Linked DNA regions of Mus musculus. The protein of the gene in region 1 binds, or shares a complex with, the protein of each later gene. Links are inferred from orthologs where the notes say so. Each region holds a gene or a part of one and is shown on either strand. Other genes may lie near its edges. The genes, in order: Stk3, Sav1 and Rassf5.

What was found.
Region 2: the proteins of Stk3 (region 1) and Sav1 are in contact, whole or in part, in a crystal structure (PDB 6AO5), measured with the Homo sapiens proteins. The link is inferred for Mus musculus from reciprocal best matches to the Homo sapiens genes STK3 and SAV1. Residues at the interface, in NP_006272.2 of Homo sapiens: Trp429, Lys430, Val431, Pro432, Gln433, Gly435, Phe437, Phe439, Leu440, Lys441, Asn442, Leu443, Ser444, Leu445, Leu448, Gln449, Arg451, Leu452, Leu455, Asp456, Met458, Met459, Glu462, Ile463, Leu466, Arg467, Arg469, Tyr470, Ala472, Lys473; in NP_068590.1 of Homo sapiens: Tyr311, Ala312, Arg313, Ala314, Pro315, Asp319, Trp324, Glu325, Phe327, Gln328, Leu329, Leu332, Asp333, Gln336, Leu339, Lys340, Leu342, Phe343, Glu346, Leu347, Ile350, Val351, Met353, Tyr354, Ala356, Tyr357, Arg358, Ala360, Leu361, Leu362.
Region 3: the proteins of Stk3 (region 1) and Rassf5 are in contact, whole or in part, in a crystal structure (PDB 4LGD), measured with the Homo sapiens proteins. The link is inferred for Mus musculus from reciprocal best matches to the Homo sapiens genes STK3 and RASSF5. Residues at the interface, in NP_006272.2 of Homo sapiens: Phe437, Phe439, Leu440, Leu445, Leu448, Gln449, Arg451, Leu452, Leu455, Asp456, Met458, Met459, Glu462, Ile463, Leu466, Arg467, Tyr470, Lys473, Arg474, Pro476, Ile477, Leu478, Ala480, Met481, Lys484, Gln488; in NP_872604.1 of Homo sapiens: Trp369, Asp370, Ala371, Phe372, Ile374, Leu377, Gln378, Phe380, Leu381, Leu384, Glu385, Glu387, Glu388, Lys391, Ile392, Val395, Gln396, Lys398, Tyr399, Phe402, Arg403, Lys405, Leu406, Ala409, Leu410, Ser413.

The regions. Positions count from the first base shown.
Region 1 is NC_000081.6:34,874,879-34,877,440, forward strand, and holds the end of Stk3 (serine/threonine-protein kinase 3), read right to left. Parts: intron 1,943-2,562; coding exon 1,784-1,942; 3' UTR 621-1,783; downstream 1-620. UniProt on the Homo sapiens protein: Stress-activated, pro-apoptotic kinase which, following caspase-cleavage, enters the nucleus and induces chromatin condensation followed by internucleosomal DNA fragmentation.
Region 2 is NC_000078.6:69,967,146-69,970,048, reverse strand, and holds part of Sav1 (protein salvador homolog 1), read left to right. Parts: exon of another isoform or gene 1-760; intron 761-835; coding exon 836-979; intron 980-1,589; exon of another isoform or gene 1,590-1,675; intron 1,676-2,903. UniProt on the Homo sapiens protein: Regulator of STK3/MST2 and STK4/MST1 in the Hippo signaling pathway which plays a pivotal role in organ size control and tumor suppression by restricting proliferation and promoting apoptosis.
Region 3 is NC_000067.6:131,175,811-131,179,237, forward strand, and holds the end of Rassf5 (ras association domain-containing protein 5), read right to left. Parts: exon of another isoform or gene 2,868-3,427; coding exon 2,715-2,867; 3' UTR 600-2,714; downstream 1-599. UniProt on the Homo sapiens protein: Potential tumor suppressor. Seems to be involved in lymphocyte adhesion by linking RAP1A activation upon T-cell receptor or chemokine stimulation to integrin activation.

The DNA.
Region 1 (2,562 bases):
TTGGGTTCCACCAGGTGTTAGGCTGGTGACAAGAAAGACTATTAAGGAAGAACACCTGGGTAGTGTGTGAGCTGATGAGCATGTCTCATAGTTTGTAAGTGGACTCTGATAATGGTGAGTGGGATCCTGGGAAATGTCTAACATAGTATACACATTGGGATGCACGAAGCAAGTCATTAGTGTCGTGTCATCTTATTTTCAGTCTTATAATTTATACATAATTATACAATATGCTTTTCATAAGGATCCAACAGAACTGAACCAACATCACTTCAAGGCATGACTGTGGGCACAGTACTATTTTAAAATGGTAGACACTTTCCATAGCTAATTTGTCTTCTGTGGATTAGCTCAAAGGAAGACACGCTCTCCTGACCCTGGAACACCTATTATGCCCAGTGCAGCTGCTTCTGTTTGACACTTGTCAGGGCTCCTTCCACTGTGGCAAGGACCAGGGTATCTCTTGGTGGCCCCGGGGCATGAACAGAAGAACCTGAAGTCTCAGTGGCACCACTAATGATAGCTTGCCCTGCCAAACAAGCCTTCCTTGTTCAGGGCAGAATCCAGGCCATGAGCTTATCAACAACAAACAACAAAACAATAACAACAACGCCAAGTTCTGGGTGGCACAATGGAATTTATTTGTCTTTGTGAGGCACACATAGTAATTAACACATAAAAGAACACACACACACAGTCAAAAAGGACATGTGTAGTGCAGGAAATGACTGGTCCCAGGTCAATTACACAAATGCTAATGCTCTGCAGAAATGAGTCTTTTTCTAATACTTTAATTTTTTTTTTTTTAGGCCCTAAGGATACAGTTTTTAGTATAAAAGTTTTTGTTTTTGTTTTTACTGTTTTATTGTCAGATACATGATGCTTACCAATTCCCAGGAAATAAATGAAATCAACAAAAAGTCCTGTGACAGAAGCATATTCCCATAGGATAAACCTGATGAGTTATTGCAGACCAATAAAAGAAACATTAACAATTACATTTTTTTCCCTCAGTTTCATGTCTTTAAAAATATTTCCCACACTTTTTCGTGCAAGAGTTCATTGATTTCTTTGGTTTTACACTGTACTCTTTTTGACCTATGTATATATAGTTTTATTTTTACCAATATCAAAATCAGGAATTAACACTTCAAAAGGTAGAAATGGTATTAAGTCTTCAGTATAAAATGTCTGGTCCATTTGAACATTACAGCCATGACTTTGTGTCTATTGGAGTTGAAGGAGTACACTCAGAGCTCCCTGCTTAGTGTACAATTTGGTTGTGTGTTATAATCCGCAATGTGTCTGGACATTCACCAAAACTATCCTGATCTGGTCTTAAAAAAAACAAAAAAACCCCAAGAAAGTGAAACTGCATAAATAAATAAGTCTACCTGGGGGGTGGGAGGGGGATCAATAAATAGGCTTCTCCATAGGAATAAAGGACATTGGAACACAAAGCCCTCCAGTGCTGTATGATTGACTAAGCAACAGCTTTGGATTTCTAGTCTCCACATACAGCTTTCATTTTAGATTAGTTCTCTTGCAGGTGGAATAGCAGGCAGAGAGAGAAGTGCGCACGTTTGTTGTTCTCATCCTTTCAAAACGACATCAGAGTGGAGACAACTGTAAAGTTTGCTTTTGGGAAATTTATCTAGGTGTGTACCATCATTTTTGAGTTTTAAAAAATTGTAGAATATACATTTTAGGGATTAAAAAGTAGAATTCCTTCAATTCTTGTGGTTGCTTGGTTTCTGGTCATCCTGAGACAGAGGGAATCTGGTCAGAAATTCTGCTGCCTCCTCTTCTTCGCATCCATGGCATCCAGGATAGGTTGTCTTTTTGCACTGTATCTTTGATGCAGTTCTTCTATTTCTCGTTCCATCATGGGGTCTAGTGCTTTTAGCCGCATCTGTAGTTCTTCTAAACTTAGATTTTTTAACTAGATGTAGGAAAAAAAAAGAAATTAATAGTGTATAATCATTCAAAATACAGAGAAGCCTAATGAGTTTTAGAATAAATATTTCAGAAAATTCTTTACATGATCTTTAAAGCATGTCAACAATTAAAGCAAGAATTCCTTTTCTGAAGGAGCCACACCACACTACAGGAACCTCAAAGAATTCAGCAAAGGGATCAACGCCTGCACTGTCAGAGAAGACTATATGATGAAAAAAAGTAAGATGAAGAAACCTGTTTGAAAAGGCCCAGAGAAAAATGTGCTACTGTCAAAAGCAGCCTGAGTGATGCGCAGTGGGTGGTGCACTGCAGGTGGTACTCTGCAGGTGATACATTGCAGGTGGTGCACTGCAGGTGGCACTCTGCAGGTGATACATTGCAGGTGGTGCTCTGCAGGTGATACTCCACAGACAGCTTTCTACTCCCTGTGCTTTGCCAACTCTACCATGAGCAAAAACCCAATGCCAACAGACCAAGAACTAGGCCAAACTCAATACAAATACCTAACATTTCACCTCTTAAACAGAAAATTAAATTAAATTTTTAAAATGATTTATTTATTTACTTTGTACATATGAGTTCTCTATCTATATAAACTACCTA
Region 2 (2,903 bases), on another chromosome or scaffold:
GGTTTGGGGGGACCTTTGAGCCAAAGGACTGGACACCACAGGACTGAGGAATAAGCAAGGGAGAGGGGGTTCCAAAGTGGGACTCAGGCCCAGGGCTTGAGGCAGGCCAGAGTGGGGGACACCCAGTCCATCTTACCTACTCCACCGTTACTTGGGTGTTTACCACTAGTAGCATATCAGCTTCCAAAAGAAGATGATGTATACTTCCACACAGTCTAGTTTCAAACAAAAAAATCTAGACCTGTAGCATGGAAAGTTCTGTTAAAGTGAAAGATGGTCAGTTTGGCCAGAAAGCACATAGATAGAAGATTCTTTTTTTTTTTTATTAGAAATCAAGCTAAGTAGGGAAGGGTTCCTTCCAAACAACCGTGGAGGTTTAATAAAGAAAACCGTAACACTGCAAAGCATGCTTGAGACGAGACCCTGTGCACCTCCAAACCCAACATTACTTCATGAACTTGTCCTGCTGGTCAGCCAGAATCTTGGCAGAGGACTTGGTGTCATAGAAGAGCTCGATGGTCTCTTCCACATGCTCCTTCTCAGTGCTTGTCCCTCCAGTTGATCTTTGCCAACAGGTTGGCTGGGGTCAGCAGCTGCACTGAATATGTCGGAGTGGTCTTGGTGCCAATCTCCCCAAGGTGGCTCAGTGCCTCCTCACTGATGTTGATGCCTTCTGTCTGGGCTTGGATCTCAGTGATCTGCTTCATCTCCTGTGGTGTATACAGCATGGTCCTGATGATCATCACCCGGTCCAGCTAAGCTGTATGGTCATCATAATTACTGGCCTAGGTAAAGGGCTTCTGTTTTTTAATAAATGTCAATTCTTTGTTCTCAGTGTACCTCGGTATGATCAGCCTCCACCCATCACGTATCAGCCACAACAAACTGAAAGAAATCAGTCTCTCCTGGTCCCTGCAAATCCCTACCATACTGCAGAAATTCCTGACTGGCTTCAGGTTTATGCCCGAGCCCCTGTGAAGTAAGTGAGCACACGGCACGAGTATCTTTGGGGTCTCTAACCAGCTTAAGTACCATGCATAGTCAGTATGGATTAGGTGGTGGCAGCACATCTTTAATCCCAGCTCTGGCAGGGTGGAGGGGATGGGGGTGGGGATAGGACCCAGATGGGGATGACAACATACACCAGAGGCAGGCAGCCCTGTGAGCTAGAGGCCAGCCAGGGCTACAGAGAGAACCCCACCCCACCCCCCACCCCCCACTCCCCACCCCCAAAAAGTATTGTGGTTTTCTTACACTATTGGGCTTCTATGTGACATTTAAGAAAGGATATCAGAGGTTATAAATTTTGATTCTTTGATTAGAAGTAAAAATTCTTCAAAGATGTTTGAATCCTAATTACTTTGTGTACAAACCTCTGGTAATGGATACATAAGAATACCAAATATGACATTTAATTTTTGTTTTCTTTTTTATATGACATTAACATGTAACATGATATAGTACTTACAACCAAGGTACCCAGTTAAGAGCTTGGTACTGTGGTGACACACAGCAGAACACTCTGAGATTAAGTTCTTCGATAGGAATTACTAGTGAATTTCAGAGAAATGGTGAGTAAATGAACCGACCTAATGACAGCTGTGCTGGAGACACTGGAGGCGGTCACATTGTCACTCCTTGATGCAGCTCCAGCTCTTGTCCATGAGGAGTGGTGCTGCCAAGAAAAGAGCCTATCAGGTTTCTGCAAGATTAGTCCTCAGTCCTCAAGTAACAGAATAAAAGCGGGGGTGGGGTGAGCTGCTTGCTTGCAGCTTTGCCACGGTGCTGGTGTTCCTGGGACACACACCCAAGATGATGGAACTGTGTGTGGCACTGTGCAGCCTGGGCAGCTTGCAGGAACTGCTCAGTATACTTTGTTTTATTTTTGTATTTTTTTGAGCCGTATATGTTTTTATATAGACTTTGGAATAAAATGGCAAATGAGTTACCAAAGTAGCCATTAGATAGGACAGAAGTGTTATTATAAACAAATTCACTAGACATTGCAACTTAAAGCTTCCTTTTATCTCTACCCTGCAGTGATTTGAGAAATGACCTCAACATCACATAGGTACATAACTTACTGTATTTACATTCCCATGGTAATGGACAGTGACCCTAAAAAACTGTCACTCTAAAGCTCCTTGGTCCATACACCTCTGCCTTCCTGAACTGTTAGTCACTAAACATTTTTACAGGAGATAATTAGGGTTTTCATCTATAAACAAGAAAACTAAGTTAGACTGCTGTCTCTTGATCTCTCCCCTTTCAAAGTGTAAGTTACTACCTTGGTTTTATACTTCCAACTTACTTTAAGCACTGAAGGAGGACTAGAGTCCTTCCAAGGCCCACATGAGAATAAGCAACATGATGTCACATTGTGAAGTTTTCTTCAGTTTCTCTCATTTTGAAAGTTTATTCTTTCTTTGATTCTTGAATTTATTTTATTGTTAACTATGTGTGTGTGTTTGTGTACACACATGTGTGGTGTAGCTTGAGTCCAAATGAAAGTATTGATTTCCTGCAGCTGGAGGTCTAGGGGGATGGGAGCTACTTAATGAGGGGTTGGGAACTGAACTCCAGTCCTTTGCAAGAACTTCCGAGCCATGCCTCCAAACCTGTCTTCTTAGTATTTATTTCTTGTTACTCATCCTCAGGAATACTTGGCTCCCAAATGATTCATCTTCTGTCTCAGTTGTTGTAGTTGAATAGTGTTCCTCTGTCACCTGTCAGTCTGCCAGCACTGACGCCACTCACTAGTGACTGCATGCTTTTCTGTGTGACCACTTGTGAGCACGGCATGCTCTCGAGGATTCTAAGTTCTCAACATTAACTTTGTATGAACTTTAAGGAGCATAGGATGCGCTTTTTGGAAATTACAGAACCACTATAGTCTGAAAGCA
Region 3 (3,427 bases), on another chromosome or scaffold:
ACTCAGATCCACAGGCGTGGCAGTGAGCACCTTTTACCCACTGAGCTCCCTCACCCGCCCTGTGATTGACTAATTTTAAGGATGCCTGGTGAAGAGAGGCAGAACTGAGTAAGTTGGAGAGCCCATGCATGCGTGATACATGAGCAGCACTGGAAGGTAGGTGGTGATTTCCCTAGTTAACTTTATGTGGCTGTTTCTTGAATTTAAAAGATTTCCGTGCTGGAAATCAGCGGGGCCAAAATGCAGGCTGCTTTCGGACCAGTCCAGCCCTCTGCAGTTGAAGTCATCAGTGACCCACACTCACATCATCATTGTAGATAATTCCAAGGACAAGTGCTGCTTACCTCTGTATCTAGAAAGCTGTAAGTCCCCTCCCCGTCCAGCACCGCAGAGATGGAGAAGAGGCAGCCAGAAGCAGTACCCTCTACTGTGTGGACAATTTTCTCAAAAGCGTTTGAATGGTAGCCTTCATTCTCTAGCTTACTGGAGAAGAAAGCTTGGCTCTGTCTAGAAATGTACCTGCAGTTGCCTCAGTCTTCCTCTCTCCAGCCCACTTTCCAGAAGATGTTGACGTTCAGCAAGGACGATTCCATCGTGACTTGTTTTTACAGTAAGCTTTTATTACTCATTAAAAAACATAGAAAGACATTTAGAAAGAAAATATCCTGAAAAGAACACATACAGAGCAATAATACAACCATAGAAGGCACTACCAGCAGTTAGACTCCTCTGAGACGTCAGGAACTCCATGCTTTCCAGAGGCTCAACCCTCAGTACAGGTCCTGGGTCTAACTGTGCTTTAAAGTCTGAATCTTACCATCATTTTCTGAATAAACGCCTTTCTGTATATATAGCTATATGCCTCTATGTGTATATACATATATATATAATACATGAATTTTTTTTTCTTGTCAAAAATAAAAAGCCATCCATGGGGGGACGTTCTCAGCAGCATTCACAGTGTTTGCAGCAGGAGCCATGCCTTCTCCTAACGCTACAGACATGCAGGATGAAGGGAATGACTTTCCACGTGCCCCTGTAGTACACAGCAGGACGGGGGCTTCTTAAGGGAGAGAGGTGTAAGGCTGGGCATGAGACCTCAGGCAGCCAAGGGGCTGATGGCGTGCACAACCTCAGAGTCGCTAGCTCATGTTGCTTTTTGCAGCTCTGCAAACGATGCACAGTTTGAATGACAAGGATTTGGCGTTCTTCTGGGACGGGAGCAGTGTGGCTTCAGCCTGGGCTGGTAGGGAACTTTTTAGGCTACACGGAGAAGCTTGGGCTTAAAACAACCCGAGGAAAGGGTATGGAAAGGCAAGCACAACATGAAAGTGGTCTCCTCTGGAGGCTCAATTGAAACACTGGCCCTCTTTTAAAGGGACAAGTTTTTCTCCATCTGTATTGAGTGTCTTTGCAGTCCTGGCTACTCTGGCTGATTGGTTTTAAGTCTGAACTACTCAAGAGTTGGAGTCATAATCTGATGCTGTCAATGCAGTCTAGTAACCTCGCATCTTCAAAGTCAAAGCCTGACCGGGAAGCTTGATGGGAAAGAGGCTGATCATCAATCACCCTGTGCTCTGAGGCTGTGTCCTTGGCTCTATAGCACCATTGTCCACTTCCTGCCAGGGGCAAGCCAGCAGAGAGCTTCAAGCAAAGTGCCCCACTCTTTTCTCTGCAAACAAAAAGGCACTGAAGTCACCAGGGAAGTCAGGCCCACGGGTCTGCTCAGTGCTGTGCTGCGAGCAGACCATGCTTCCCACCAGAAAGGACTCCAAGTTGGAGGACTTTACCACTGTAATCAAAGCTACTACTCAGGCAACAGCTGGAGACCCTAAAGCCAGAGGTGGAGGTGGAACTGAAGGCCAAGGAGATTCAGGCCCCCCACCCCCTGCAGGCGTAGGCCACAGACAGCTTGGATGTGCTTCTCTGTAATACTTTCTGGCAGCTCAGCAAGAAACTAAAATTGATAAGTGGCTGGTTTCTCTTTGGTAGAAACCCATAAGGAGGACAGCATTAAATTCAAATGTTAACATATCAAACATTGGACAGAGACATGCTGAAATACCACACAGATGTGCATATATGTCTTTGGGTTTGCATGCACACAGCCTGCTGGGTAATAAGAGACGGCCTGGTCAGGCTGTAGCCTCTTGAAATCTCAGGCTGACCCTGAGTGTCTAGTACTAGAGAAGAAGAGGCACCTTGGGGCAAGGACAGTCCTTTCATGAGCATTTTCCTGCTTTCAAGGACTTAGCTAGAATGAATATGCCACATTTGATCCTTAAATATACTATACGTGGCCAAAAAAAACCAACCAAACAAACCAAAAGAGGAACTGAAGAGTAAATCCAGAGAAAGAACACACAGGCTCTGAAACCTTTCTTTCCTTTTGCCGGCTGGTGATTGATTGGAGTTTGGTGACCAGAGAGGCAACTATTTGGTTTCTGAGAGGCCAGCAGACTGAGCAGGGAAACACTGGTCATTCCACAGGAGTTCTGATCCCAGGCGGAAGCTCTCCAGAGCCATGGTGTGGTGGGTTAGCAGGAATCGAACCCTGCATAGACACTGCGTGGAAGAGACTTTGTGCCACATCTGTTAACTGCTGGGCAGGCACTGGTGGAACCACCAGAGGTGTCTTAACAGTAACTCTTTGTTGCAAAATAATTAACAATAAAATAAATTGGAGGGCACTGAGAGGACAGGAAGTCGGCTGGTTACCCCGGCTTCCCTTGGGACTCTCGTAATGCCTCTTCCAGTTTCTGACGGAATTTGTTGTACTTCTTTTGCAGTTGATGGATCTTGTCCTGCTCCTCTTTTTCCAGGATAGTTAAAAAGTTCTGGAGTTCAGGAATGGAAAAGGCATCCCACTATGAGAGGAGGAGGAGAAAACAAGTGAAAATGGTTAGAAGTTGACATGTCTCAGGGCTCTGCTGTTGCTCCACAGTGAGCCAGCCAAGTACACTTTTCAGCTGAAGGGGCGGGTATCACGAATGACATTTGTGTACCGTACACAATGGTCACATCAGCCACAAATGGTCATGTCCCGGAATCTCCTGGAGTTCCCAGCCTATACACCTGTGCTTATAGAAGAGCAGCTGCAACTGAGGATACACCTGTGCTTATAGAAGAGCAGCAGCAGCTGAGGATACACCTATGCTTATAGAAGAGCAGCTGCAGCTGAGGATACACCTGTGCTTATAGAAGAGCAGCCGCAGCTGAGGATACACCTGTGCTTATAGAAGAGCAGCAGCAGCTGAGGATACACCTGTGCTTATAGAAGAGCAGCCGCAGCTGAGGATACACCTGTGCTTATAGAAGAGCAGCTGCAGCTGAGGATACACCTGTGCTTATAGAAGAGCAGCAGCAGCTGAGGATACACCTGTGCTTATAGAAGAGCAGCCGCAGCTGAGGATACACCTGTGCTTAT